Linked DNA regions of Stegostoma tigrinum. The protein of the gene in region 3 binds, or shares a complex with, the protein of the main gene of each other region. Links are inferred from orthologs where the notes say so. Each region holds a gene or a part of one and is shown on either strand. Other genes may lie near its edges. The genes, in order: gtf2a1, gtf2h5, gtf2f2a and polr2h.

The links.
Region 1: gtf2f2a (region 3) and gtf2a1 share a complex: the UniProt entries of both Homo sapiens proteins name them as parts of the TBP-based Pol II pre-initiation complex. The link is inferred for Stegostoma tigrinum from reciprocal best matches to the Homo sapiens genes GTF2F2 and GTF2A1.
Region 2: gtf2f2a (region 3) and gtf2h5 share a complex: the UniProt entries of both Homo sapiens proteins name them as parts of the TBP-based Pol II pre-initiation complex. The link is inferred for Stegostoma tigrinum from reciprocal best matches to the Homo sapiens genes GTF2F2 and GTF2H5.
Region 4: gtf2f2a (region 3) and polr2h share a complex: the UniProt entries of both Homo sapiens proteins name them as parts of the TBP-based Pol II pre-initiation complex. The link is inferred for Stegostoma tigrinum from reciprocal best matches to the Homo sapiens genes GTF2F2 and POLR2H.

The regions. Positions count from the first base shown.
Region 1 is NC_081363.1:9,877,335-9,885,128, reverse strand, and holds the start of gtf2a1 (transcription initiation factor IIA subunit 1), read right to left. Parts: upstream 3,009-7,794; 5' UTR 2,825-3,008; coding exon 2,795-2,824; intron 2,175-2,794; exon of another isoform or gene 2,158-2,174; coding exon of another isoform or gene 2,155-2,157; intron 1-2,154. UniProt on the Homo sapiens protein: TFIIA is a component of the transcription machinery of RNA polymerase II and plays an important role in transcriptional activation. TFIIA in a complex with TBP mediates transcriptional activity.
Region 2 is NC_081362.1:31,606,055-31,612,896, forward strand, and holds the start of gtf2h5 (general transcription factor IIH subunit 5), read left to right. Parts: upstream 1-3,827; 5' UTR 3,828-3,989; intron 3,990-4,151; 5' UTR 4,152-4,211; intron 4,212-6,842. UniProt on the Homo sapiens protein: Component of the general transcription and DNA repair factor IIH (TFIIH) core complex, which is involved in general and transcription-coupled nucleotide excision repair (NER) of damaged DNA and, when complexed to CAK, in RNA transcription by RNA polymerase II.
Region 3 is NC_081365.1:74,518,655-74,526,203, forward strand, and holds the start of gtf2f2a (general transcription factor IIF subunit 2), read right to left. Parts: upstream 3,013-7,549; coding exon 2,956-3,012; intron 1,063-2,955; coding exon 989-1,062; intron 876-988; coding exon 857-875; intron 1-856. UniProt on the Homo sapiens protein: TFIIF is a general transcription initiation factor that binds to RNA polymerase II and helps to recruit it to the initiation complex in collaboration with TFIIB.
Region 4 is NC_081367.1:41,069,227-41,076,286, reverse strand, and holds the start of polr2h (DNA-directed RNA polymerases I, II, and III subunit RPABC3), read left to right. Parts: upstream 1-4,047; 5' UTR 4,048-4,155; coding exon 4,156-4,228; intron 4,229-6,875; coding exon 6,876-6,959; intron 6,960-7,060. UniProt on the Homo sapiens protein: DNA-dependent RNA polymerase catalyzes the transcription of DNA into RNA using the four ribonucleoside triphosphates as substrates.

The DNA.
Region 1 (7,794 bases), on a different chromosome or scaffold from region 3:
CCCATTTCTGAAGAAGAGTCCCAACCAGAAATATCAGCTTTCCTGATCCTACAATGCTGCCTGGCCTGTGATCCTCCAGCATCTGCAGTTCTTACTAACTTAGTTAGCACATGTTGCCCTTTATCCAACAGCAAGTGGAATTCAAAAGTGAGGAAGCAGTGCTTCTGTTTGACAGAGTTTGATTAGTTCTTATCTGGAGTAGCATATGCAATTATAGACCTCAAAACTTGCTTCTGAAGTGTACAAATTGACCTACTACACCCAGAGACATCATGACAAGTTTCACAACATTGGCTTGTAGTCTCATGTTTAGATGGTTGTGAACTGCTAAATCAAGACATTTCAAATAACTGAGGCAATTGTGTAGAGAGAAGCCATTTTGTTTGCTGGGAAAAGTCCATAATCTTAAATGAGAGCTATGTCAGTCAGAACAAACATCAGAAAGCAAATTTTCCACAAAGGATACTGGAAATCTAATCTTCAAAGTGTCAGGAATGCTGGGTCAATTGACATCCTTGCTGGGCAAAATTTTAAAAGAGTAAAGATTGCCTCCACTCAGCTTGGCCTAATTAAACAGTAGAAATAGGCCAAGACACTGATCTACTTCTATTCTTCCTCACAGCTCCGACACTTGTATTGGGAAGTTAACATTTCCCTGCTCAAATATTAAGAACTGTTTAAATTGCAAGACTTCTGAAAATGCCAAGAATTTAAAGAAATTTAAAGATGACATTTTGAAATAACCATACAAGTCTAACCATTTAGATGAATACAAGCTAAGAACTTTTTGCTTAATGCTACACAAATGTATAAATAAGATGATGATTCCCACCAAGACAGAGTTCTAAATATTCTCTAAAATGGAACTTCATCACGTACCAGTAATGCTGAAATCAAGTGAGAAATGCCATTTGGTCCATTTTTCCTTTACTAGTGCTTTGAGGAAGAGCTATCCAATTCATTCCACTGGGTTGCCCTTACCTGCCATCATGGACTATGTAAATTCAACCACAGCAACCACTGTTACAAATATTCATCTACTTTTAGAAAAAGGGTCATTCCTGATAATGAGTTGTCAACATTGCACTGGAGTAAAAAACTGAATTGGCAAATGCATTTGCTTCAGATTTTCAGTATCAGAAGTATTGTGGTTTTAATAAAATAGTTACACACATCTTGGTTGAATTACAAATGCAAAGAAAAACACCCTGATCTATAAAAGATGCTGCTTGCAGTCTGAATTCACATTCTCAGAAAGAACACTACAGCATAGCCAAGCCTGCAGGAGCTCACCGTTGAAGGAAAGCTCACAGCCTCTGACAGAACAGAAAAACAGTGAGGGGACCAGGGATAAGGGTGGAGGGCAGAAGGTTTGTCAGAAAGAAGGTAGATAAGTCACAGCCTAAAACCGATCAAGGGAACATACTTAAGCAGGCAGTTTACCCTTGGGCCTCACAGCTGCTGTTAAGCCTCCCTCTCTCCCTGCTTTCTTGCACAGCCCTTGCAGTCTGACCTCATATGCAAAGGGGACCCCCCCCCCCTCCTCATGACGTAGAGCTGGCAAGCACATCCCCACCGTGCAACCGAGATTATAATAGAGGAGACCATCTAGGAGGGGGAGGAAAGACAGAAGCAAGGGGAAGGAAGGCACAAACAACAGGCCACCCTCCACAAAACATTAGCTTATGGAGCAGAGAGACCGATTCACCAGATTGGCCACAAAAGGAAGGGGGACAGGACTAAAACCAAAGTCTTAGGGGCCCTGAAACAGGGAAAGGAAAGCATCTCGTGCCTCCTTCAGACCAACAACACAAAAATTTGTAAAAAGTCAGCCAGAAAACAAAATGGTTCATCAGCAAATAGTGCAGGCTCCATCTGTTTCTCTAGAGGGATCAGCAGGGGTGTGTTGGTGTTTCAGTTTTATTCCTTTTGTAAAATAAAGGTTATATATTTACCTTCAAAAGTACAAGTTTTTAAAAGCTAAAACTTAAATCAGACATGAGCCTGTAATATCCTGACAGCTTACCAAAAGAAAACCTTAGCACTTTTCTTAGTTTCAAACTTGACACACAATTAGCAAAAGCAGTTCTTGAATTGTGATTTTTCCAGGTGAAACCACCTCATGAATTCAACTTTTTATTTAAAAAAAATTACCATTCATTTTGATGTGCAACCCAAAAATTGAACCATTCACCCACCACTTTCTCCCCCACTCCATTTCTTTCCCAAGCCACTTTAGAAAGCACCTCAGCTTAAAAATGTAGTTACTAGTCCAGACAAAAGAAATTTTTACAGGAGAGAAAGGAGGGAAGTGTTTTCTCCCTCACCACCCCCCCTCAAAAAATCTGCTTGTAAAAACTAAAACTCCAGCCACAGCTCCTGACAAAAATCCAGTCAGTTTGTCCAAGATATGGCTTGCTTTGCTCCGCTAATTATTTTTAAAAATGTTGAGAAAGGGAGTCAAATCTTGTTTTCCTTTTAAAAAAAGGGAAGTTTTTGTTCCTTCCCCCCCTTTTCAAATGCCAACAAGTTTTCCGCTTTGCTGAATTTTGCTTCAAAATTTCCCCAGACAGAAAACAAAAGCAAAACATTACTTTTCACGTTTGGTTTTTCTTAAAATAAAAAAGTAGAGAGAAAAAATTGTTTTCATCCTCGGGAGTGGAAAAAGCAGATTTTAATGAAGAGCATAGATATAATTTTTTTAAAAATATATAAAATGGTTCCCATCTTAAAGTCTCTTTTATTTCGGAGGATTTAAAAAAACAACCACACTCAACACACAAAAAAATCTTACCACCGGGTTTGAGTTGGCCGAACTCGCCATGTGGATACGGAGGAGAATTTAAATGAAATATCCAGATGAGGTGGTTTGTTTTTTGGTCAAGAAAAAGATTTTTTTTTAAAACAAAAATAAAAGCGATTAAAATTGATTTTTGGCGGTGCTGCCTGAAGCGGGCTTGGGAAAGCCGTCCGTCCTCTTCCAGCGAGCGCTTATATACTGCCGAATGGAGCTTCAATTGCCGCTATAGGGAGGGTCCGGCAAATGAGGCGCTGCGTCAGCGCTTGTCTTCGCTCCCCCGCCCCCGCACCCAACCAACAAACCAAACCCCACCGCCCTCATCTCGCGAGAGTACCCACGGACACATCCGGGTCCTGCTACCTCCGCCGGGCATGCCGGGAGTTGTAGTATTTCCGTTCCCGCTCTCCTGCCGCTGCCATGTTTAACCCTGGATTTCCACAACAACAAACCACCATCGAATTCACCCCCCCTTCCCCCCCCACCCCCGGTTGCGGAAAGTAGGCCTTTGGGCCCATCGAAGAGCATCCCATCTCCCCCACCCACCAGATTCAGCCCGCTCTGTCGCTGCATTTCCCATGGCTGGCCCGCCCAGACACCGTGGGCAAATTTGGAAAAGTCAGCCCACCTAATCTACCCATCTTTGGATTGTGCGAGGCACAGAGCACCTGAAGGAAACCCACGCAGACATGGGGAGAACATGCAAACCCCACAGGGCCCCCAGTGCTGGGATTTAACCCCTGTCCCTGGAGCTGTGAGGCAGCAGTGCTCACCACTGAGCCACCATGCCACCTAAACCATGGGTGGAGGTGAAATTTGTGTTGCCCATGGCATCTGTGTCCAGCACAGACTCGTGGAGGCAGTGGTGGAGGCAGACCTGGGCCCAGAGCAGGCTCTTGGCAGTGGTGGAGTTGAGTTTGGCCTGGTATGGGACATGGTGAGGATTAATTGTGGCAGCAGTGTTGGTGGAGGCAAGATGACATCGAAGAGTGGCGATTCATGTTCTGGCAGCACGGCGAGGGTACATGCCCATGGCTAAGCACTCAACAAGACGGACTACAAAGTTGAACTTCATTTCTTCATTTTTCCACCTTTATATTCCACGTTATGATTCATCTTTCTGCGTTTTAAGATGGTGCCGGAGAGTGGTGACGCTACGCAACTCTTTTCATTGTGTTTTGTAACAAAATACATGTGACAATAAATCAAATCGATCAATAAATCTCTTGAACATTTCTTTCACCAAGACAGACTATAGAAACCATGCTTGCACCTTGAATTGTGCACTCCCTTCCCCAGGAAAACATTAACTTTTTATTAAACTTCATACACGGGATGAATGCGTCTCTAGGTGGGTCAGCATTCATTGTTGAGCCCCAGCTGCTCTGCCCCAGAGAACAGTCAAGAATCAACCACATTGCTGTGGGCCTGGAGTCACATATAGGCCAAACCAGGTAAGGATGGCAGATTTCCTTCACTAAAAGGGCATTAGTGAACTAAATAGTTTTTTTGACAGTGGTTTCACTGGTCATCATTAGTCTTTGAATTCAAGCTTTTAATTAAAATGGTAAAACTGATGGGTCATTGCCTTTGCCAGAGGAGCAGATTCAGTCCGTAAAGTCTGCTCCACCAACAAATAAGATCATGATAAGAGGTCAAAAAAAATCATGTTCCACCCCTCTCCTCACTGAGTTTTTTCTAAAATTTATTCATAGTATGTAGACATAGCTGGCTAGGCCAGCTTTCAGTGCCCATACTTACCCACATTGCTTTAGATCTGGAGTCAGCAGGCCAGGCCAAGAAAGGATGGGAGATTTCCTCCCCTAAGGGACATGAGTGAACCAGATGAGTATTTTTTTGTGACAATCAAGATCATTAGATTTTTAGTTCTGGATTTTCATTGAATTCAAGTTCCACCACCTACCACGATAATAAAATGTGAGGCTGGATGAACACAGCAGGCTCAGCAGCATTTCAGGAGCACAAAAGCTGACGTTTCGGGCCTAGAACCTTCATCAGAAAGGGTCTAGGCCCGAAACGTCAGCTTTTGTGCTCCTGAGATGCTGCTGGGCCTGCTGTGTTCATCCAGCCTCACATTTTATTATCTTGGATTCTCCAGCATCTGCAGTTCCCATTATCACCTCCACCACCTGCCTACGGCAGGTTTTAAGCCCAAGTCCCTAGAACATGACCTAGTTACCCAGATTGATTATTTAGCAATAATACCACTCAGCCATCACCTCCCATTAATGTGTTTTAGCTTGCTGTAGATCTGAACACCTCAATTTACAACTTTACTTCTCTTTCACACCTATTACCAGTGCCTTCAAGATGGCTCCTAAGTCCGTGGCTTTTCATCTTTTTCCTTTTGTCTGTATTTACCTCCATTTTTCAGATGGCATCGGTGGTGGAGAATTGAGCCAGCATGGACTCAGGAGACTCTTGGCCTCGCGGAAGCCCAGCATTGGACTCCCGGCCTTGAGCTGATGCCCAGCATGGACTCCCTCCTTTAGAAAAACTGTATTGCTGAACTTTGTTTCTTTATTTTTCTAGTTTATACCTAACATTTTATACCTAGGTATTTTTGTACCTAAGATGGACTGGAAATGGCAAATTTGTATACTTTTCACTTTTGCAGTTCTTACTATCTCTGCATCAATTTCTAACCCTTATTTGGACCCATTTCTTATTGGCCGTAGGTCTTTTCCATATCCCTGTTCATGCATATTCATACATCCCTCAACTTGAGTACATGTTACAGTAAACCTAATTCCAATTCTAACGTCAAATCAGATTAATTAAAATATAAGTGCAGTGGCTAAAACAACAGGCAGTGACTAGGAATATTGCAGGATTCACCTCCTGATTCCCCAAAGCCTGAGCACCATCTACAAGGCGCAATTTCCTTAATACTTCCCTTAAACTTTATCCCTCTCACTTTCAACTTATGTCCTCTTGTATTTGACATTTCCATGCTGGAAAAGAGATTCCAATAATTCTCTCTATCCACACTGCTCATAATTTTATATATTTCTATCAGGTTGCCTCTGAGGTTCTAGCGGAAACAATCCAAGTTTGGGCAGCCTCCTTCTAGCTCATAAACTCCAATCCTGGTAAACCTCTTCTGTACACTCTCCAAAGCGTCCATGTCCTTCCTGTATTGTGGTAACCAGAACTGTGCACAGTACTCCAAATGTGGCCTGACCAAAGTCTTATAAAGTACAACATGACTTGCCAACTTTTATAATTAATACCCTGAACAATGAAGGCAACATGCCATATGCTTTATTTACCACCTTATCCACTTGTGTTGCCACTGACAAGGAACTATGGAGTTGTACCACAACAACCCTCTGCATATCAAAGCACCTAAGGGTCCAACCATTTACTGTATACTTTTATCATTCATTTGACCTCTGAAAATATATCACATCGTACTCCTCGGGATTATACTCCATCTGCCATTTCTTAGCTCAACTTTCCAGCTGATCTATATTCTGCTGCATCCTTTGATATCCTTCCTCACTATCCATAACTCAAATAGTTTCATGTCATCTGCAAATCTATAATCAGACCACTGACATTTTCATTCACATTGTTTATTTATATCACAAACAACAGAGGTCTCAGACTGATTCTTGAGGAACGTTACTGGTTGCAGACCTCCAGTCAGAAAAACACTCCTCCATTACTGCCCTTTGTATTCTATGGCCAAGCTAATTTTGTATCCAGTTTGGTAACTCAATGGATTCCATGTGATTTGATCTTCTGGACCAGCCTACAGCACAACACATTATAGCACAGGACCAGGCCCTTCGGTCCACCGAGCCTCCATCAATTCCTAGATAACACAGTGTGGAGCTGGAGGAATACAGCAAGCCAGGCATAACCAGAGGAGTAGAAAAGTTGACATTTTGGGTCAGGATCCTTCTTCAGAAATGGGGAGGGAAAAGCAAGCTCAGAAATAAATAGAGAGGAGGTGTGGGGCTGGGAAGGTAGGTAGGATGGTGATAGGTGAGTGCCGGTAGGGAGTGGTGGGGATTGGTCAGTGAGGCGGGAGGGGCGGACAGGTGGGAGAGAAGATGGACAGGTTGGTCAGGTCAAGGAGGCGGGGAGGAAGGGAGGGGTGGACATGCAACGAGTTTGGTGGATGGGGAAATTTTGAAACTGGTAAAACCCACATTTAGGCCATTTACCAGTTTCAAAATTTTGCCTACCCCTGGCCTCTTCCCCCGCCCCACGCCTCCTCTCTATTTATTTCTGAATTCCCTTCTCCCTCCCCATTTCTGAAGCAGGGTCCTGACCTGAAACTGCCTGGCCTGCTGTGTTCCTCCAGCTCCAAACTCTGTTATTTCTGACTCCAGCATCTGCAGTTCTTACTATCTCTGCATCAGTTCCTAATCCTTATTTGGACCCACTTCTTATTGGCCATAAGTCTTTTCTATACCTCTGTTCACTTCCCGTTCATGTGTCTATCAAGATATGCCTTAAACAATGCTAATCTTAAACAGTGCTTCCACCACCTCCACCGCCAGTGTGTTCCAGGCAACCACCACCCTCTGTGTGAAAAATTTTCCCTACTCTGCTCCCCTAAACTTACCCCCTCTCACCTTGAACCTGTGCCCTCTTGTAATTGACCTTTCCTCCCTGGGAAAAAGTATCTGACTATCCACGCTATCTATCCCTTTTATAAGGGATATACCTTATATCCGGCTGTCAGGCTACCCCTCAGCCTCCATCTTTCATGTTTATCCAACCTCTCCTCATAACTAAACCCCTCCAGACCAGGCAACATCCTGATAAACCTTCTCTGCACCCTCTCCAAAGCATCAATGTCCTTCTGGTAGTGTGGCAACCAGAACTGCATGCAATATTCCAAATGTGGCCTAATTAAAGTTTTATACTGCTGTAACGTAACTTGTCAACTTTTATATTCAATGCACTGACCAATGAAGGCAAGTGTGCAGTATGCCTTCTTGACTAACTTATCCATTTGT
Region 2 (6,842 bases), on a different chromosome or scaffold from region 3:
TAAGACCAAGTGTAACAGGCACCTTGGCACTTTAGGAATGTATGATAAACAAGGTCTTTGTCTAAAGCAGATCATCTTGGAATTCAAGTACTATCTATGTGACTTACAATGTATGAATATCTAATTAATCCTCATTGAGTTAGAATGCTATCTTGGAATCTTTCCTTGGGCAGACCGTCCCAGCACTGGATCAATGTATGATCATTGACCTCTACCTCAACAATGCCCTCGGATGAAATACATCAGGACCTGGGAACTTTGTTCTTGGCTTTATTAATAAGGGCATAGAGTACAAGAGCAGGGAGATGATGTTGAACTTGTGCAAAACACTTGTTAAACATCAGCTGGTGTATTGTATATGTTTGTGGGCACATTACAGGAATAGTGTGATTGCATTGGAGAGAGTGCAAAAATGATTTATATGAATGATCATAGAATCCCTACAGTATGGAAACAGGCCCTTCAGCCCAACAAGTCCACACCGACCCTTGGAGCATCTTACCCGACTCATCCCCCAATAACCCACCTAATCTACACTTCCATGCACACTATGGGCAATTTAGCATGGCCAGTCCACCCAGTCGGCACATTTTTGGACTGTGGGAGGAAACCAGAGCACTTGGAGGAAGCCCACACAGACACAGGGAGAATATGCAAACTCCACACAGGTAGTTGCCAAGGGTGGAATCAAACCTGAGTCCCTGGCACTGTGAGGCAGCAGTGCTAACCACTGAGTCACTGTGTCACCCCATGGATGGTTCAAAGAATGAGATATTTCAGTTCTGAGGATAGGGTGAAGAGGTTGGGACTGTTCTCGTTGGAAAGATAAGGCGGGAGAAGATTTGATAGAGGTTTGCAAAATCATGATCAGTGGGGAGAAGCTGTTCCTTCTGAAAAAAAGTAAAAAAAAATGAGTGGGCATAGATTTAAAGTGATTTAATTGAACTGGCACAGGCATGATGGGGCTGAATGGCTTCCGTATTTATCCTAGGTTGCTCCGGGAAGCGAGAAAGGAGGTTGCTAAGCCGCTGGCAAAGACCTTTGCTTCCTCACTCTCCACGGGAGTCACACCGGAAGATTGGAGGGAGGCAAATGTTGTTCCTCTTTTCAAGAAAGGGAATAGGGAAATCCCTGGAAAATACAGACCAGTCAGTCTTATGTCTATGGTCAGCAAGGTTTTGGAAAGAATTCTGAGGGATAGGATTTATGACTATTTGGAAAAGCATAGCGTGATTAAACGGAGTCAGCATGGTTTTGTGAGGGGAAGGTCATGCCTTACCAATATTATTGAGTTCTTTGAGGAAGTCACGAGACAGGTTGATGAGGGTCGAGCAATGGATGTGGTGTACATGGACTTCAGCAAGGCATTTGATAAAGTTCCCCACGGCAGGCTCATGCATAAAGTCAGGAGGTATGGGATACAGGGTGATTTGGCTGTCTGGATTCAGAATTGGTTGGCTGACAGGAGGCAGAGAGTGGTTGTAGATGGTAAGTATTCTGCCTGGAGGTCACTGCTGAGTGGTGTCCCGCAGGGCTCTGTTCTTGGGCCTCTGCTCTTTGTAGTTTTTATAAATGACTTGGATGAAGAGGTTGTGGGGTGGGTTAGTATGTTTGCTGATGACACAAAGGTTGGAGGTGCCATTGATAGTATGCCGGCGATTGCAGGCATCAGCAGGACATTGACAGAATGCAGAGCTGGGCTGAGAAATGGCAGATGGAGTTCAACCTGGATAAATGCGAAGTGATGCACTTTGGAAGGTCGAACTTAAATGCTGAATACAGGATTAAAGGCAGGATTCTCGGCAGTGTGGAGGAACAGCGAGATCTTGGTGTTCAAGTGCATAGTTCCCTCAAAGTTGCCACCCAGGTGGATAAGGTTGTTAAGAAAGCATATGGTGTTTTGGCTTTCATTAACAGGGGGATCGGGTTTAAGAGCCGTGAGGTTATGCTGCAGCTCTACAAAACCCTGGTGAGACCACACTTCGAATATTGTGTCCAGTTCTGGTTGCCCTATTATAGGAAAGATGTGGAGGCTTTGGAGAGGGTGCAAAGGAGGTTTACCAGGATGCTGCCTGGACTGGAGGGCTTGTCTTACGAGGAGAGGTTGACTGAGCTCGGACTTTTCTCTCTGGAGAGAAGGAGGAAGAGAGGCGACCTGATCGAGGTGTACAAGGTAATGAGAGGCATGGATAGAGTCGATAGCCAGAGACTTTTCCCCAGGGCAGGATTGACTGCCATGAGGGTTCATAGTTTTAAGGTGTTAGGAGGAAGGTATAGAGGAGACGTCAGAGGGAGGTTCTTCACCCAGAGAGTTGTGAGCGCATGGAATAGTTTGCCAGTGGTAGTCGTGGAAGCGGAGTCATTAGTGACATTTAAGCGACTGCTGGACATGCACATGGACAGCAGTGAATTGAAGGGAATGTAGGTAAGGTTATTTTGTTTTTGGATTAGGATTATTCCACGGCACAACATCGTGGGCCGAAGGGCCTGTACTGTGCTGTACTTTTCTATGTAACAGTGCTGTGAATTTATGAATTTGTCAGCCTGCAGCTCCATCAGTTTGTTCATTACTACTTCCCTGGTGATTGTAACTTCACCAAATTGGTCTCTTCCTTCAGTTATGATCCTAGTTGATTTTATTATTGGACAAGTCAGATCTCAGTCAGGACCCTAGCTGAGATCATATTTTTATTTGTTGTGATCCTTTAACAATAAAATATATAGCAAATTCAAATATTTTAAATACCCAGTAAAAGTATAACCCAATAAGTCCCAACATATTATTTTATAAATTGAAAAGAAATGAAACAACTACTGTGTAATACCAAACACACCACTGCTACAGGTCCCAAACATGCTTCACATAATACTCACACTACAGTCCCTGTACCAGATTTAAGTCACATATGACTTCAATTTTTCTGGAATAAGATGTAGCTATTTTCATACCTGCGTTTCACTGGACTTATTTTAAGTAACCTTGTCAAGGTTTTTATCCCAACGCTTCTGGTCTGGGACTAAAAATGACTTTTCTCTCCAATCTAATCCACAGTATCTACCATTCTCTTCTCAGGAAGATGCTCAGATCTACATTGGATTGATTCATATCAGAGGCACAGTAACACTGTATTAGTCTGAGTCAGAGTTGCACTGTACTCATAAATCTGGTTGAGCAGTAGTAGGGTGACTAGAAGTAACAGCAGCAGGACAATCCTTAAAAATTGGGACAATTACCCAGAACTTCCGACTATCCTTAACTGTAAATGTCAGGGAGAACAATTTTATCTTTATACAATTAATCTATCTTGGAGTATACTTGATCTGTCTCTCGGTTATTAATCACATATCAAGCCAACTTTGCTGACTTCACAGGTTCCATGTTTTGCGAAACGTCTTAGCTGACATGTCCTTCAGTGGAATATGAGAATCCTTTATCAGAATACTAACTCATTGCTTGCACTAACTGTCATGCCTCCAACTCTCCTTGGTGCATATTTGGGTGAATTTTAACCATCAACCCTGGAGTCGATGTGTAGCACAGAAAGGGGAGGCCACTGAAACAGTGGCTTGAGGTTCCCTAATCACACTTTTAGAAACAAACATTGAATGTACTTTTCCAGCTGCCCACGTACTGTGGAAAGATATCCTGTTACTTTGGCACACTGACCAAATCAGTCATGCGTGATACAGCATACCAGACGTGTACGTATGACAAGACAATTCAATTTGAGATAATATAACAAACCGTTTGGAGGGAAATTTGCGGACAAAAAATAAACACATTTCCACAAGGAGGCTGGGACTTAAACGACTCCGACTCCGAACTGAAACGCTATATAACCCCTCTAATCATTTCGGTGCAACTCTGACCCAATGTGGTGTCATTTTGTTCGAGGTGCCGTTAACTGATTGGTCATGTTTGAATTGCGTGTGTTATCCCAGATCGCTTAGCGCTGCGAGAGAAGAAATGGTTGTTCCGTAGAGATCAGGTTTGAGTATTGAATCTTTTCTCCCCCCCCACCTTTTAAATTGTAAAACTTATGCATATGTGTTTTCGTAATGCTAATCCTTACTTGACCATGTTAATAATGGTGTGCTGTCTCGAGAAATGTCCCGCCTCCAACTGATGTTTCTTTTATATTGTATGGTAGGTTTGAGTTTTTTTCTCGGGGGGCGTGAAGGCGCCCATCACGGATCTGGCCTGATCTACGGTAATTAGCACTTTTCCACTTCATCTTACTTGGATGACAAGAATTAGTCACGCAGCACAGAAACAGGCCTTTCGGTCCACCATGTTTGTGCTGACTAACAAACATCAAACTGTACTAACAGAAGTTGCTAGAGATAAGAGATTGCTCGAAGTTCCTTCCTCAGAGGAAGAGTCACTGGACCCGGAACGTTAACCCTGATTTTTTTTCCTTCACAGATGCTGCCAGGCCTGTTGAGATTTTCCAGCAACTTCTGTTTTTGTCACTGATTTACAGCATCTGCAGTTCTTTCGGTTTTTACCAAACCACAGTAATCCTGTTTACCTGTATTTAGTGCACTACTGTGCCCTGGCATTTTAAGTGCCACATGCTTCTTAGGTGTTGCAAGAGTATCTGCTTCTGCTGCCCCCTCAGACACCGCGTTCCTTATTTCTACAACCCTCTGGGTGAAAATGTTTTTCTTCCGATCTCTTCTAAACAACTTGTTCCTCACCTTTAATTTTAAGCGTTCTGGTCTTAGACATGTATGCTGCAGGGAAAAGATTCTTAAGATTCTATATATCTTGTCTGCCTGTGCTTCTTATAATTTTGTATACCTCAATCAGATATCTTCTCTGCTCCAAGAAAACGAAACCCAGTCTTCCCTTACAACTGAGACTTTTCATCCGAGGCAACATCCTGATGAATCTCCTCTGTACCCACTCTACTGCAATCACATCTGCCCCATTGTGTAGCAAACAACATGGTATTCTGTTTGCGGCATAACAAAGTTGTAGCAAGACTTCCTTGCTACTATATTCTATGCCCCAGCTAATGAAGGCAAACATCATGAATGCTTTCTTCATCACCGTGTCCAGCTGTGCTGACACCTTTACGGACTTGAACACCAAAGTCCTTTTGTCCCTCAGTTCACTTGATAGTAAATTTAAGTGCGACTATTGGAATGATGACTGCAGAAGTAGAGCATCAAGTTAAGTGCCAGAAAGACACTGGTGTTATGTATATGTTTTCTAATCAACCTGTTAATAGATATTAGACACCTCTGGAATAGGTGGGCCTTAAATCTAGGCTGCCTGGCTCAAAGGCAAGAACATTACCGTTGTATCAAGAAGGCAAAATGAAGCCATCGAAGGCCAAGTTGAGACTATTTGATGGGACGGTACTCCACTCAATATCCAAACAATATCCACTCATACCAGCTGAAAAAGTTTTTAAGCATGGTTTGGTAACCTTGGTTTCACTGACCAGATCCTAAAGGAAAATGTTTCGACAGGTCTTTGTCACCCTGGTAAATAATTTGAAATAGATGAACAGGCGAGACCAGCTCAGCATCTGGAGAGATCTGGCTGCTCTCAAGTCCACCTGAAAATCAAGAGAAGTTGAAAAAGGAGTAATGAATCAAGGACGAGGCAACTCAGACAGATTGACTTGCAAAGTGATAGCAGTGAAATAACCTGGAAGGACTTCAATAAAACCTTGAAGAGATCTTACTACTGCCTGCTAACCATTGAAGATATTTCGTCATAATTTGTGAAGGCAAAGATCTTTACTATTCTCCTTGTGGTGGATACTAGCAAGTGAAGTTGGATGAATTCAGAAACTCTTGTGATGTTTGAGAAGTACCTGCAATTTGGAATTTCAGCTTCTTCAGAAGATCATCGCCACACAATGAGACAGCTGTTGACTTTTCTAGAGTGGAAGTGATTGGCGTTATCTGCTGGTCTGTTGATGTGTTGAAATGACAGAGGCCGTTGCACACCACATTCTTCTCAGTGCTGGAGAGTTCACCAGATGAAATTGAATCTGGACAAGAAAAGAAAACAGTTCAAGGTGCCTAAATTCAGATATGAGATTCACGTACTGACAGCAGTGGAATTGTCCCTGATAACATTGAGAATTGTAGTAGAGGTGTTTTAATTTAAAGTTCAGTAGTACAGGACTTGAGCTTTTCTGAAAAACTTTGTCTTGCACACATTAAGATAGCTTGCAAGAAATATTAATTTGTAAGGGAGCAACTACTTTATTGTATGAGAAGTGTGCTGATTGGTACAGGTGTTGCCATGGGGAATACACCAGTTAGGTGGTGATTGACAGGTAACTCCGGTTTTGTGTAATTTATTTAAACCAGGCAGGCTGACTCTGATTCGACTGGGAAATGAAGGAGAGAATAGCTGTTGCCTGTTTAATTGCGTTGAAAAAGGTGCTGTATGTGCTCATGTTCATTCAGTCTGCAAAGTCTGTAGCACACAAGTGGCTGCGCTATGCAGAGCTGTTGGGGGAGTAAAGAAGAGGAGAGAAGAGAGAATAGTGATACAAAATTCTGTCATGAGGGAAGCAGATGTTTCTGTAGCCGGTGTGTGGTAAAGGATGTCACTGAGTGGTTCTAGGATATTCCGAAGGGGTAAAATGAACAACCAGAGAGTATGGTTCATGTCCATGTCTACGAACACAAGTTAAAAGGGTGTATGATAAGCAGAATGTAAGGAGCTAGGAGTTAAATTCAAAAACAGGGCCTCAAGGGTAGTAATTTGGGGACTACTCCCAGGGCTGCATGGCAGTATGTTTAGAAATAGGAGAGATGGTGCAGGAGGGAAGATTTTAGATTTCTGAGGCATTAGGTATGATTCTGGGGCT
Region 3 (7,549 bases):
ACCGCTATAACCTCAAAGTTCAAGATATTTCATGTCTCCAGTAAACCCTTTAGATACTATTTTGTATTTGTAGCCCCCTATTTCACACTCTCCCATAAGTGTTACACATCCTCTTCACACGTATCCTGTCTAACCCACTCATTCTGAAGACCTTAATGAGGTCACCTATAAGTCTTATTTTCAAAAGAAAAAGAAAAACCCAGTCAGTTTAATCTGAAAAGGAAATCTTCTCAATCTGATGTCAGAACATCAAACAACAATATAATGCAGGAAGCAAATTCTACATTTAGCTTTACATTCCATTTAAGCCTGCAAATAAAACTGTCAGGAACAATTTTTTCTAAAACGTTCAGCAATTAGTAAGAAACGATCTCCTCTCAAGATCTGACATTTAGATAGTAATGCAAAGATCTACTATTAATATTTCCAATATCATTCATGATGATCACAATGAGTCATAATGATGCTCATTTGTACCAGAAACACTTAATCAAGCCATCTACAGTATATACCAGCAGATGCTAATCCCATAGCATTACTCATGACAAGATAGGTGTCAAGTGTTGTGAAAGGGCTGAGGCATAAAATGCAAAGAACAATACTTTACAATCCAGGTTAAGTTTTAAGGTCATAAGCTTTCAGCAGTTGTTGAACAAACATTACAGGAGTTTGTTCTTAAATAGAACGGCTATTCAGGCTGTGCAGGACACTCCTGGGTTTATCCCATCATGCCACTCCACCAGGTGTAAGAGATAAATCTGCTGTTTTTGAACAGTACACAAATCTGGGGGTGACAGATAGGAGATAGCTGGCAAAAATACCTTTCAATTGTATTTCCTTCCTTGCATTCTCTTACCTCAGTTTTTCCTTGATTCCTGTTAAATAGAAAGAGGAAGCAGATTAGTTTCATGCTCACCACTTTACCATTTAAAAACCACATTTGTCAGCCTCTGACAGCTACTCTGGTGACAGAATAAAGGTCACTTACTTGGCTATCCTTATTTTTCCGACTTCACCTCTTCCTGTTGCTTTAGCCCATTGCTGAGAAAGGTATTTGGGGACCTACAGACATGTGTAATACAAACAGTTATTTACGGTAAGCATGAAGGCCAAAAATAAAACACAGTTTGCTTATGTAATAGCCAGCATTATCATTTTTGTTAATTTTTTCTGAGGAGTGATAGCTCAAAGTAGGGAATCAGATTCTCCTGCAGAGCCCAGTGCAGGTGAAAAAGTGAGCACAAGGGAGAGTGGGAAAGCTGGGCTGCACAAAAGAGAAAATAAAAATGTGTCAGTACAGGAAGTCAAACTTCAAAAACTGACCAGACGCTGCATATGGAGCTATTTCAGATTGCAAAGAGGAGCACTTTGGTAAACAAAAAAATCATATTTTATTATTTTAAAGGACATGATGAACAGGGGTAATATACCCCCAGTGATTCTTTGTGCAGAGATTCACTTTAGGACCTCAAAGAAATTGATGTCTGACATCTACACATAACATATTATGGATTTTTCTGGATTATAAAATCTGTCCAGACTGTGTCCCAACAGTCATAAGAATTTAAAATATTTGAATTAACATTTTTGATAATACAAACTCTCAATAAAGCAACTAGCTAACGACCAGGTTTTTCAATTATAATCACTGTATGAAAAACACTTCATAACTAATCAGTTAAATAACATTTAGTGCATCAAGCGTGAGTTCTATAAATTAATGCTGTACAAATAAGATGGATATGAACTGTTCAAAAGATTTTAGAATATACCAACAAGGCCTGTCATACTCTGCTTTGAACAGTGTTTTACAAAAGGAGGTGAGTAATGAAGAGACAGGGATTCTAACAGTTAGCAATGAAAGAGGGATATCCTAAGTTTTAACACATCTGTTAAACTACCCTAAGATGTGGCAGACCCAAAACAGTGGCTCCATAGCTCAGCAGCATACAGGTTGCGTTGCTGACTCACCAACACTCAGGAGAAGAGGAAATTGGAGTGCTAAGTTATTGCAGTATTGTCATGGGGTTCCTGCTTTCAATGGTATTTCAGCAAGGGTCTGCCTTTGAAGACAGAGAAGGTGAATGGGATTACCAAACTGGGCCAACTCAAAAGAAACCCGAGAGATATTTTCACAAGGACGGAGAAAAGAGTATTTGTATTTTAGGTATAGACAGTGAATACTTGAGTAAAGGAGACAGGAATGATTGGCAACCTAGCTATGTGAGGCCCTTTGAGGAAGTATGATCATAATGTTATATAGAATTCTTTACTTAGATGGAAGGTGTAGTAGGTGACTCAGATTCGGATCCTGAATCCAAATGAGGTTAGGGTGGTATGAGGTGCGAACTGGCTATGATAAATCAAGGAATGTTACTTAAAGGGATGATGGTGGATAAGCAATGGCAAATATTAAAACAGCACATGGGTGAACTGTCACAACTGTACACTCCTGTCCGGGACAAAAATAAAATGGGAAATGTGGCTCAACCATGGCTAATAAGCGAAATTAGGGATAGCATTAGATCCAAAGAAGGGGCATACAAATTAATCAAAAAAGTAGATGCGTGGATTGGGGGGAAGTTTAGATTTCAGCAAAGATGGATAGAGGGATTGATTAAGGGGGAGAATGGGGTTTGAGAGTAAGCTTGTGGGGAACATGCAAACTAAATATAAAAGCTTCTATAGGTGCATGAAGAGGAAAGGAGGTGGGAAGCCAAATGTACCCCTTACGGTCAGAAACAGGATAATTTATAATGGGAAACAAAGAGATGGCAGACCAGTTAAATACATATAGTTCTGATCTCACAAAGATGGGCACAGATAATATCCCAAAAACGTTGGGAAACTTTAGTCAAAGGGAGCAACTGAACAAAACTAGTTTTAGTAGGGAAATCGTGTTGGGGAAATTGATAGGATTAAAGGCAGATAAATCCCCAAGGCCTGATAATTTACATCCCACACAGTACTTAATGAAGTGGTCCTGGGAATAGTGGGTGCATTGATGGTCATCTTTCAAGATTGTTTAGACTCTGTGGAACAGTTTCTATATGTTAGAAGGTAGTTAACTGTGACCCTGTTAGTTTAAAAAGGCGATTGAGAGAAAACAGAGAATTATAGGCCATTAGGCTAAATATTGGTAGTGGGGAAAATACTGTTATCCTTCTAAGATTTAGAGCAGAGCAACTGGAAAACAGAGGCCAGATTGGGCAGAGTCAGCATGAATTATGAAAAGAAAATCAGTTGCTAAGGGGAAGAGTGTGGATGGGCTTACTTGGACTTTCAGAAGGCTTTCAATAGATGTACCTAAGAGATTAGCATGCAAAATGAAAGTGCGAGGGATTAAGGGTAGTTTAGATTAGAAAAGATTCCCTACAGTGCGGAAACAGGCCCTTCAGCCCAACAAGTCCATACCGCCCCTTGAAGCATCCCACCCAGACCCATTCTCCTACAACCCACACACCCCTGAACACTATGGGCAATTTAGCATCACCGATCCACCTAGCCTGCACATCTTTGGATTGTGGGAGGAAACCGGAGCACCCGGAGGAAACCCATGCAGACACGGGGAGAATGTACAAACTCCACACAGACAGTTGCCCAAGGCTGGAATTGAACCCAGGTCCCTGGCGCTATGAGGCTGCAGTGCTAGCCACTGAGCCATACTGACATGGGAATGGAGAACTGTTTGGCAGGAAACAGTCAGAATAAATGGGTGTTTTACCCAAAAAGCAGGCAGTAAGTAGGGAGGTGCTGCAACAGTCAGTGCTTGGGCCCCAGCTATTCCCAACATATATTAATACTTTAGAGAAGGGAACTAAATGTAATATCTCCAAGTTTGTAGATCACACAGGACAGGTGGGAGGGCGAGCTGTGAGGACAACACAGAGATGCTTCAGTGTGATTTGGACAAGTGGAGTGAATGGGCAAATTCAAGGCAGGTGAAGTATAATGTGGAAAAAGCGAGGGTAACATTTTGATAAACAAAAACAAGGCCGCAGATTATTATCTTAATGGTGATAGGTTGGGAAACACGAAGTTATGTTGAGACCTCAGTGTCCTAGTGCACTAACTGCTGAAGGAAAGCATGCAAACAGTGACGGCAGCACATAGTATGTTGGCCTTCATAGTGACAGGGTTTGAGTACAGGAGCAGGGATGTCCTGTTACGATTCTATATGGAGAGACCACACCGGGATCATTTTGTGGAGTTTGGGTCTCTGGCTTTGGAGGGGGTGCAATGCAAGTTTATGAGCCTATTCCTGGGATGGCAGGACTGATGCATTAAGAGAGACTGGATTGGTCAGGTTTACAAGCACTAGCAGTTTGAAGAATGAGGGGCATCTCAAAGAAACCTATAACATTCCAAGAGGAATATACAGGGTAAATGCAAGAAGGATGTTCCCAATGACCAGTGAGGTCACAGTTTAAAGATTCAGGATAGGCCATTTAGGACTGTGATGAAGGAAAATTTCTTTATTCAGAGAGTGGTGAACCTGTAGAATTCACTGCCACAAAAACTGGTGAAAGCCAAAATACTGAATGTTTTCGGGAATGAGTCAGATATGGTTCTTTTTGCTAAAGGGCTATCAAGGGATATGGGGAGAAAGCGGTTACAGGGTATGGAGTTGGATAATCAGTCATGATTCTATTGAATAGCGCAGCAGGCTCAAAGGGCTGAATGGCCTGCTCCTATTCTCTATGTTTTTAAAACACATGGCAGCATATGTGAATAATCATATATATGCATCTTCTTTACATTAAAAACAAATCGCGCTTTACATTCTTTCCAATGCGGACACAGGGGAGTGGCAGTGAAAGGTCGGTGGATATTTGTGAAAGGAATGCCCAAAGTTTCCAATGAAAATGAAGCAAGTCCAAGTGTTTTTAAATTGGGTCCTGGAAAATAAGTATTTCCTGTAACAACTGCAGTTGCATGAAAACATACTATGTGCACAAGAATGTTAATGCCGTTCTATTCCCGTCTGTTTATTCCTGAATTAGATTCAGAAAAAAAAGTTGCATCTTTCATGCAGACCTTCAACTCAAGGAACTTCAAATTCCTCACCCAGTTTTTCAATTGTTTTGTACAAGGAAAATATTACAGAGGTCAAAAATATAATACAACGTCCTAATTTTTGAGTTCTTAACATGAATAGAACCACAGATTTTCTAATTATCCATCTGCCCCCTTCTGTGATTAAAATTAAACAACTGATAGAATCAATGTGGAAATTTAGTTGGGTAGAAGAACATGCAAATTAAATTCCTATCTTACTTTCTAATCACTTGGAAAGTACTCAACAAGTACTTTGAGCAACTTGACTTGTTTACTTTCCCTGGTTTTTTTTTGATTACTGCTTTGCATTTACAGATCTTCTGAACAGACTGAATTTTATTCCTGCTCTACATACTGGTTGATTGGTACAGTGCATACCTGTTATGAATGCAAAATTGGAGCTAGTGAAGATGAAGTGTGACTCAGAAATGAGAAAGGAGGTTACCAAGTGTGACTGGTAAGAGCATGCACAGCAACAATAATTATGCAGCACCTTTCTGTACCCTCATCAACAAGAGAGACGTCTCCATGCCGGCGCTGCTTCACGCTGATATGATTGTTTGCAACTATGGCATCCTGGTCAGAGCTGAGTAAACCTCAAATTGAATTACCTGCCTCTTTCTCTACTGCAGCCCATATGGCACTTCTTTCTCAATTTTTCCCTCCAGCCTCAATGAGCCGCAAAGTTCTCCTCTTTGACTTACATCCTCCAAAAATCACTCTGTATAAGAAAAACAAATGCCCCTCATGCCCTTTTTAAATTTTTCTCCTCTCACCTTAAGAATACGCCTCTTAGTTTTCAACTCCTAGGGCAAGGAATTTTGCTATTCACCTTATGTATGCCCCTCATTATTTTATAAACCTCTAAGGTCGCCTCTCAGCCACCTACACTCCAGAGAAAAAAAGTCCCAGCCTATTTTTATAACTCAAACCCTCCATTCCCACCAACATCCTGGTACTTTTTTTTCTGAACACTCTCCAATTTAATATCCTTCCTGAAGCAGGGTGACCAGAACTGTACTCCAGAAAAAGGCCTCTCCAACATCCCATACAATCACAAAATGACGCCCCAAATCCTATACTCAAAGATCTAACCACGAAGGCAAGCGTGCCAAATGCCTTCTTTAGCATCCAGTCTACCTGTGATGCCAAATTCAACCTGAACCTCTAGGTCTCTCTATTCGACAACACTTCCCAAGGGGCTACTTTTAATAGTATAAGTCCTGCTCTTTTTTGTTTTACTAAAAAGGCAACACCTCACATTTATCCGAATTAAACTCCACCTGCCACCTCTCAGCCCACTGACCCAATCAATCAAGATCTCTTGGTAATCTTAGATACCCTTCCTTACCGCCCACTAAGCCATTAATTTTGGTGTCATCCTCAAACTTAATCGCAATATCTTCTATATTCTCATCACAGGTACCATATTTCTTAAATTGTAAAACTAATATTTGTTTGGCAAGGGACAGGATAAACAGAGTGTGTAAGAGACTTACAGTTATCTGGAACTCTCTCTCCCAGGGTCTCCTCCAGAACGTTCAACTGGGGCATCATTCAGGACAACCTTAATGTCACACCAAGTTCTACTCACTATCTCTACTCACCTACATTGGCTACTGGTCACAATGCTTTAGATTTTAAATGCTCATTTCTAAAATCTTCCATAACCTTTGGTTCCCCCTAGCTCTAAACTCCTCCATTCCTATCACCCACTTCTCTTGCCTGCTGTACATCCACTTCTCTCTCTCTGCAGGCACCAGTACTTGTCACTTCTGAGTATAGGAGTTAGGAACGTCATGCTGAGGTCGTACAGCACATTGGTGAGGTCTCTTCTGGAGTTCTGTGTCCAGTTCTGGTCGCCTTGTTATAGGAAAGATATTATTAAGCTGGAAAGGGTTCAGAAAAGATTTACCAGCATGTTACCAGGAATGGAGGGTTTAAGTTTTGGGGAGAGGCTCACGTATTTATCCAAACGTCTTTTAAAGGTTGTAACTGTACCCATATCTACCACTTCCTCTGGAAGTTCATTCCACATAGGAACCACTCTCTGTGTAAACAAAATGTTGGCCCTCATGTCCTTTTTAAACCTTTCTCCTCTCACCTTAAAAATATGCCCACTAGCCTTGTAATCCCCCACCCTGGGGAAAAGACACCTCCCATTCACTGGACTTTTTCCACTGGAGTGTAGAAGGCTGAGGGGTGACCCTATGAAGGTTTATAAAATCATATGAGGTATAGATAAGGTGAATGGGAGATGTCTTTTCCCCAGGGTGGGGGATTTCAAGGCTAGGGGGCATATTTTTAAGGTAAGAGGAGAAAGGATTAAAAAGGACATGAGGGCCAACATTTTGTTTACACAGAGAGTGGTTCCTATGTGGAATTAACTTCCAGAGGAAGTGGTAGATACGGGTAGTTACAACATTTAAAAGGCATTTGGATAAATACATGAATAAGAAATCCATGGAGGGATGTGAGCCAGGCACCGGCA
Region 4 (7,060 bases), on a different chromosome or scaffold from region 3:
AGTGGCCCGACAAATAAGAGGGCAAATTATTATTTAATTGGGAAGCACATCCAAAGTGCATCAGTGCAGCGGCATCTGAGTGTGCTTCTGCATGAATCACAGAAAGTGGGTATGCAGGTGCAGCATATAACAAGAAAAGCAAATGGAATCCCAGCATTTGCTGCAGGAGGACTAGATTATAAAAGTAAAGAAGTGCTGTTACAATTATATGAGGTGTTAGTGAGAACACATTTGGAGTGTTGTGTCCAGCTTTGGTCTTCTTGCTCAAGAAAGAATGTAGTGGCACTGGAGACAGTTCAGAAGAGGTTCACCAAGTTGACTCCAGGGATGAAAGGGCTGTCATACAAGGAGTGGTTGAATAGCTGCGGCTTCTTCTCACTGGAGTTCAAAAGAATGAGGTGGGATTTGACTGAGGTATATAAAATGCTAAAGCGGACTAATAAGGTGGACGTTGGATGTATGTTCCTTCTTGTGGGACAGTCTCGAACAATAGGTCATAGATATAGCATGGGAGCAGGTAAGTTCAAAATTGAGATGGGGGAAACTACTTCTCTCATAGGGTTGTGATTCTGTGAAACTCATTGCTCCAGATTGCAGTGAAGGCAGAATCAATTAACAAATTCAAGAAAAAAATAGTACTGTTTGTGATGAAAAGCGGGAGAAAGGGAACTGTGAAGCAGGCAGGAAAGCGGCATTGAGACCAGGATAAGATCAGCCATGATCATTTTAAATGGTGGAGCAGGCCTGAAGGGCTGAATTGCCTACTCATACTCCTAACTCCTATGTTCCCCTCTCTGATGCTGAATGAACTGTGCTTAGCAAGGGACGTAACCAGCTTAATGAATTTCAGGCACAACATGGTGCTAAACTCTTCTTTTGTTGTCTTTGTCTCTGTGCCCATGACCCTGGACAGGAATCCTCTCCCAGCCACAAAGGCTGTTTCCCCTATCTCCAATGCATCCCCTCCACCTGGACTCCTCTGTCTGGTCTTTTGCAAGCTCTTCATTTCTTCATTGAGAACTGCTGGTGTGACACTGGCCACCTTAATTTCTCTAATCCCTTCACCCACTCACATCTATCTCCCTCTGAACTTGCTGAACTCCGTTCTCTCAGGTCTTGTTATCAAAACTATCAATAACGGTTGAGTGGCTGTCATCTGCCATGCTAACTAGTACCTGGCAGAGTGCCAACTCTCAGACACTTCCTCCTATCTCCCCCTGGATCATGACCTGACATTGATCATTGAACATCGGGCTGTAGTCTCCAGGACTATCACTGACCTCATCTCCTTCAGAGATCTCTCCTTCACAGCTCCCAATTCATAGGCCCCCAGCCACGTATAACCCGCTTTTCAAAATCCACAATCAGGACTGCCGAGGCAGGCCCATCATTTTAGCCTGTTCTTACTCCACTGAACTTATTTCTTCTTATTTTGACTCTATTTTTACCCTTCCTTGTTAAGTGTCTTTCAACTTCCATTCATGATTCCTCTGATGCTTTATGTTGGTTCTATAATGATGGTCCTAGCCACCTCTTCTTCACCATGGGCATTAAAGGCCTTAGCAAAGCCATCCCCCATCAGGATGGTCTGAAGGCTCTCCATTTTCTCCCTTGAAAAGAAGCTAATACCATCATACTTCACCTGGCTGAGCTTGTTCTCACTTTGAACAACGTTTCCTTTAACTCATCTGATTTACTGCAAGTCAAAGGTGAAGCTCATTGATACTTGCACGGGCCTCGGATTTGGCCATCTCTCTAATGTAGTGTTTGGAATCATTCCTTTTTCCAGTTGTACTCAGGCTCCCACTCACAATTCTATCTCTGATGTATTGATGATGCCTTTGGTGTTGCTTCCTGCTCTTGTCCAGAATTAGGACAATTCATCAGTTTTATTTATAGTTCTGAAGAAGAGGCATAGCCAGGCTCAAAATACTAACTCTGCTTCTGCCCACAGATGCTGATAGTCCAGCTGAGTTTCTCCTGCATTTTCTGTGTTTATTTCAGATTTCCTTAATCCACAGTATTTTACTTTTATTGTTACTTTGTTAAGGCTGATGCAAGAGAAATACCTCTTGCAGTATCCCACAAAGACAGGATGTTTTTCTTGCTGTAGGAGAGACAGAGCATGGGTTGGCACTGATGCCTGGAAACGTAGTAGCAGCTGCATCTTGGCTGACACCAAGCACCCTTGTGTTGCATTTTGGGTCCGCTGGCACAATTCTCAGCCTGATAACTGGTAGAATGACATTAACAAGATTGTACAACACCTCAGAATCAGACTCGGGACAGGTTAGAAGCTACCAAATTTTGTAACCTAAGAGAGCCTTCTGAGCAAAAACCTTGGCGTTCATCAAGGTAAAATGCTGAAAGTTTGCTGACTGCCTCCTATTGGAGGAACTATTCAAGTGCTGCATTGACTCTCAAAGTTCCAGCATTAACCATTAACTGGATGTGAGTTTGCTCGCTGAGCTGGAAGGTTAGTTTTCAGACGTTTCGTCACCATTCTAGGTAACATCATCAGTGAGCCTCCGACGAAGCGCTGGTGTTATGTCCCGCTTTCTATTTATCTGGTTAGGTTTCCTTGGGTTGGGATTAAATCTACCATCCCCTGAGAAAAAGAACAGGAAATGACATCACCAACCCAAGGAAACCTAACCAGATAAATAGAAAGCGGGACATAACACCAGCGCTTCGTCGGAGGCTCACTGATGATGTTACCTAGAATGGTGACGAAACGTCTGAAAACTAACCTTCCAGCTCAGCGAGCAAACTCACATCCAGAACCTCAACCTGAGCTACAAATCTTCTCAAAACTCGTTAACCATTAACTATATGAAGTTGGTACTAAGCATTATAGCAGAGTTGGAGACAATTCCCACAAAAACCTGTAATCAAGCACTTTCATACTCCAAAAACTTTGCTTGAGGCTTTCAACTTTCATATAGTTGCCACCTCTTCAACTGTCAATGACACCTTTCACCACAGTCTCTAGGAGAAGTGGTGTATTTTCCACTTGCTCAGAACTTCCTCAATTCTTAGATATGGATTTCAGTGCTGGAGCTTTCACTAAGCTTTCAGTTGGTAATCACTTATCCCAGTGGAATGTGTCTGTACTGACACCCAAAACAGGAAAGGCAAGCTCTGATTCTGTTTAGGCAAAGCCTGAAGCTGGACAGCTGAAATTTTTCACCAGGAAAGACTTGAGGAGCAATGGCAACAGTTTTTCCACTGACTCTTCAATTTGACAGCTCAATGTGGTGAAGCTGGCAAGGAAACCAGTTATATTCATCATCTTATTACTCCATAGGATGTGAAGAATGCTGTCAAGGCCAGCATTTATGGCCTGGCTATTTGTCTGAGAGCAGTCTGTGTGTCGTCAGCACACCCACAGTACAGAAGTTCTTGGATATTGTCCCAGCCACAGTGAAGAAACATGACATATTTCCTCGTTCGGATGGCGTGACTTGGAAGGGAAATTGTAGATTGTGATGTTCTCATATGTGCCTGTTGACTTTGTCCTGCTGGGTCACAGGGAGAAGTTTTGGTCCAAAAAAACTTGGCAAGATGCAGCAGTACATCTTGTAGACGGCATATACTGCTTTTATTGCGTGTTGGTGGAATGAGTGAATGTTGCAGGCGGTGGACAAATGTGGGTGGATGCTGCTTCCAGGAAGAATGCTGAGCCCAGCCTTGGTTACTAGCAAGTGTGGACTTGGTCTTGAAGGCCGCACGAAGAGACAGCCCGTTAATGCTATTTCTGAATCCATAGCTGGCTAACAGACCCAGAGAAGTCCCAAACAATTTATAAGTTTCAGATTTACAGTGCCTGTCGTATTTTTCATATGTTTCCATCAACGTTTAAGAAACTGTTCAAAATATAAAGACCTAAAAGAACTAAGCTTGTTTATTTACGTTTAGGAGAAAGAACCTTTCAGTAAACCCCATGTACTGAAACACAAAGCAATGCCTTGATTAAAGATGGCGGAACTGCGGTCATATACTCACATAGAGCTGCTGCCAATCTACTGGGAGGCAGGGAAGGTCTGCCAGTATCCCGGCATACTCCGAGAGATTTGTCGTGGCCTGTTTGGCAGTAGTTTGAAATTCTCTTGCTTGTGTTTGCTAGAAGTTAACAGTAATTTTATTTGTACAAGGATGGCAGGAATTTTATTTGAGGATATCTTTGATGTGAAGGATATTGACCCGGAAGGTGTAAAGTTTGACAGAGGTAAGGGAAAGAGATGAGACCTGCTGCCTTTGCTTCCTGGGTGTTCGAGTTCCCCAAATGAATGGGTTCAGGCAGTTCATGTCCAACATAGGGAAGGGAATAGAGTGATTCAGCTTTCGTCCTCCACTTCTAACTAGCATTTTTTACAGTCTTCCAGTGCTTCGTTTAATACTAGTATCTAGTTCATTGATTTACTCCTACGACCAATTCCTGTGATGTTGTATATGTGTTTTCCTGCAATTGTGGAAAGTTGCAAAAGCCCCATTTCGGACCGAGCAAACCCAAACTGCTTCCATAGCAGGCAATAATTCAGATCATATTTACACCTCCTGTTCTTATCCTTACATTTTTTTTAATTAAACCTAATTTTCTAATCAAGCTGTTCAGGGATGTTATTACACCGACCGTTTTATTCACTGTTCTACTTTCACTATTCAGTCTCAACACGCATGTGGCCCTTCCCCAACCATGAATGTGGCTGGAATTGAATTCCCACAGCCTCGAAACAAATAAAAAAAAAACTTCTTTTGCATTTGGATTCCAATAATATTCCTCATGAAGAATAGTCTTTATTAATTAGGTTGTTTCTACTTACTGTAATTCAGCTTCTGCTGTAGAAAATAGACACAGGACAGGTACCGTTCCATTAAATTGGTGGAAAAAGCTTCAAAAAACATGCTTCACTCTTTAATAATTTTAAATTAATATTGTATTGCATCAAATATGTGTCCTATCAAGCCAGTATCCAATTTTTAAACCTTTGTATTTTCTCATGGGCATTAATGACTTGTTATCACTTATATACAATTGACATTAGTACCTATTGCTTTATTTACAATATATCTTGTATGGAAAAACTTAAATTTCCATTATAATTTGCTTTTACTGATGTGCTGCTTTTAATTAGCTGTGGAGCCATAATACTCTTACATCTTTCTGCACTTCCTCAACAACAAAACAACTTCTGTTTGAAAAATAATTTTGTTTTTTAACTAGAATGCATCACTTCATGCTTTGCGATTATCTGCCTAAATTCATCTGCATTTTAAATTCTTATTCATAACTTTGTTACCTTAGAATTTGATTAGTGAGAAGGCTTCCTATTTGACTTCCCATATTCTGTCCTCTGTGAACTTGAAATCACTTCTATTGCTTGTGGCCTAACTTGCACAGAATTCTTTTTTTCATATCATTCTTGTCCTCACTGACCTACTTTGTTTGCTGTTTCAGCAATGCCTTGATTTTAAAATTCACATCCTTCTTTTCAGATCCTTAGCCTACTCATCCTGAACACTGTAATTTTAACCCTTTGAGATGCCTGCATTTCTTCATTTCTGGCCTTTTGAGCTTCCCTGATTTTAGAACATAAGACAAAGGAGTGGAAGTAAGGCCATTCGGCCCATCAAGTCCACTCCGCCATTTAAATCATGGCTGATGGGCATTTCAACTCCACTTCCCTGCACTCTCCCCATAGCCCTTGATTCCTTTTGAGGTCAAGAATTTGTCGATCTCTGCCTTGAAGGCATCCAACGTCCCGACCTCCACTGCACTCTGCGGCAATGAATTTCACAAGCCCAACACTCTCTGGCTGAAGAAGTGTCGTCTCATTTCAGTTTTAATTTTACACCCTCTAATTCTAAGGCTGTGCCCACGGGTCCTAGTCTCCCCGCCTAACGGAAACAACTTCCAAGCGTCCACCCCTTCTAAACCAAATATTATCTTGTAATTACTTCATTTGTGGTTGCGCCTTACGTTTTGCTCAAGAGTTCTCTTTCTAAATCTCCCTCTGTCTTCTAGCTCTCATTTATCCTTTAGGATGCTTCCAAAACATGACTCTGACCAATCTTTTGATTGTCCAACTTACTGTCTTCTGATGTGGCCGGTGCCAAATTTTGTTAATGCTGGTATGCTTTCCCAAATTAACAATGTTGTTTAAATGCATGTTGTTGTGTTCTACCTGCCAATTTTTCATACATTCTCCAATTTAACAACATTGCATAATATGTTCCTTTTAGTCTGTTTAATTCAAAATAGGATTTTTTTCAATGTGCAAATGTGACACTGCTTTCTCTATTCCTACATCCAGTTCATCGATAAATGCAGTGAAGATAAGTGCATCCACAGTTGTACTATGAAAAATACCACTAAGCCTTTACCAGAATGATCCAAACTTCCCCAACTCCTACAGTTCTCCTTTTGACCAATTTTTTTTTATCTTCTCCCCTCATTCAAAGCTCGGTTATCTCCTTTAATATTCTTTCACGTGACATCTTGTCAAATACTCCTTGAAGTCTTTGTACACTGCACTAAATATACTGCACCTCCATGTTTGCTTCCATGCTAAGTAATAATGCATAACAATTTTAAAATATGATGAACAAAATATACTCTTGCCTAAATTTGGCTTTTCTGCTTGAATTAATTTGTTGCCCTTTGGGCTGGTGTGAATCTTGTGTATTTTTAATGAGGGAGAATATACTATAATACAAAAAAAATTAATTGACAATAAATATGCAATCTTAACAAGATATTACTCTTACAAAAAGATAGTGTTTGATTGTGAATGATAGTTCTGATAAACTGATCAGTAAAAGCAATATTTAGATACCTTTGGGCATATAATAGAACTTCTGTGTCATTTTTACAGTTTCTCGCTTACATTGTGAAAGTGAATCCTTTAAAATGGACCTGATTCTTGATGTAAATATACAGATTTACCCTGTTGAACTTGGTAAGAATTACAATTAATACACATTTTTGTAGTTACTCTGTAATAAACTTCAGATTCAGTTACAATCCAGCTGAATCAACATTGCTATAATGCTCGAGTTT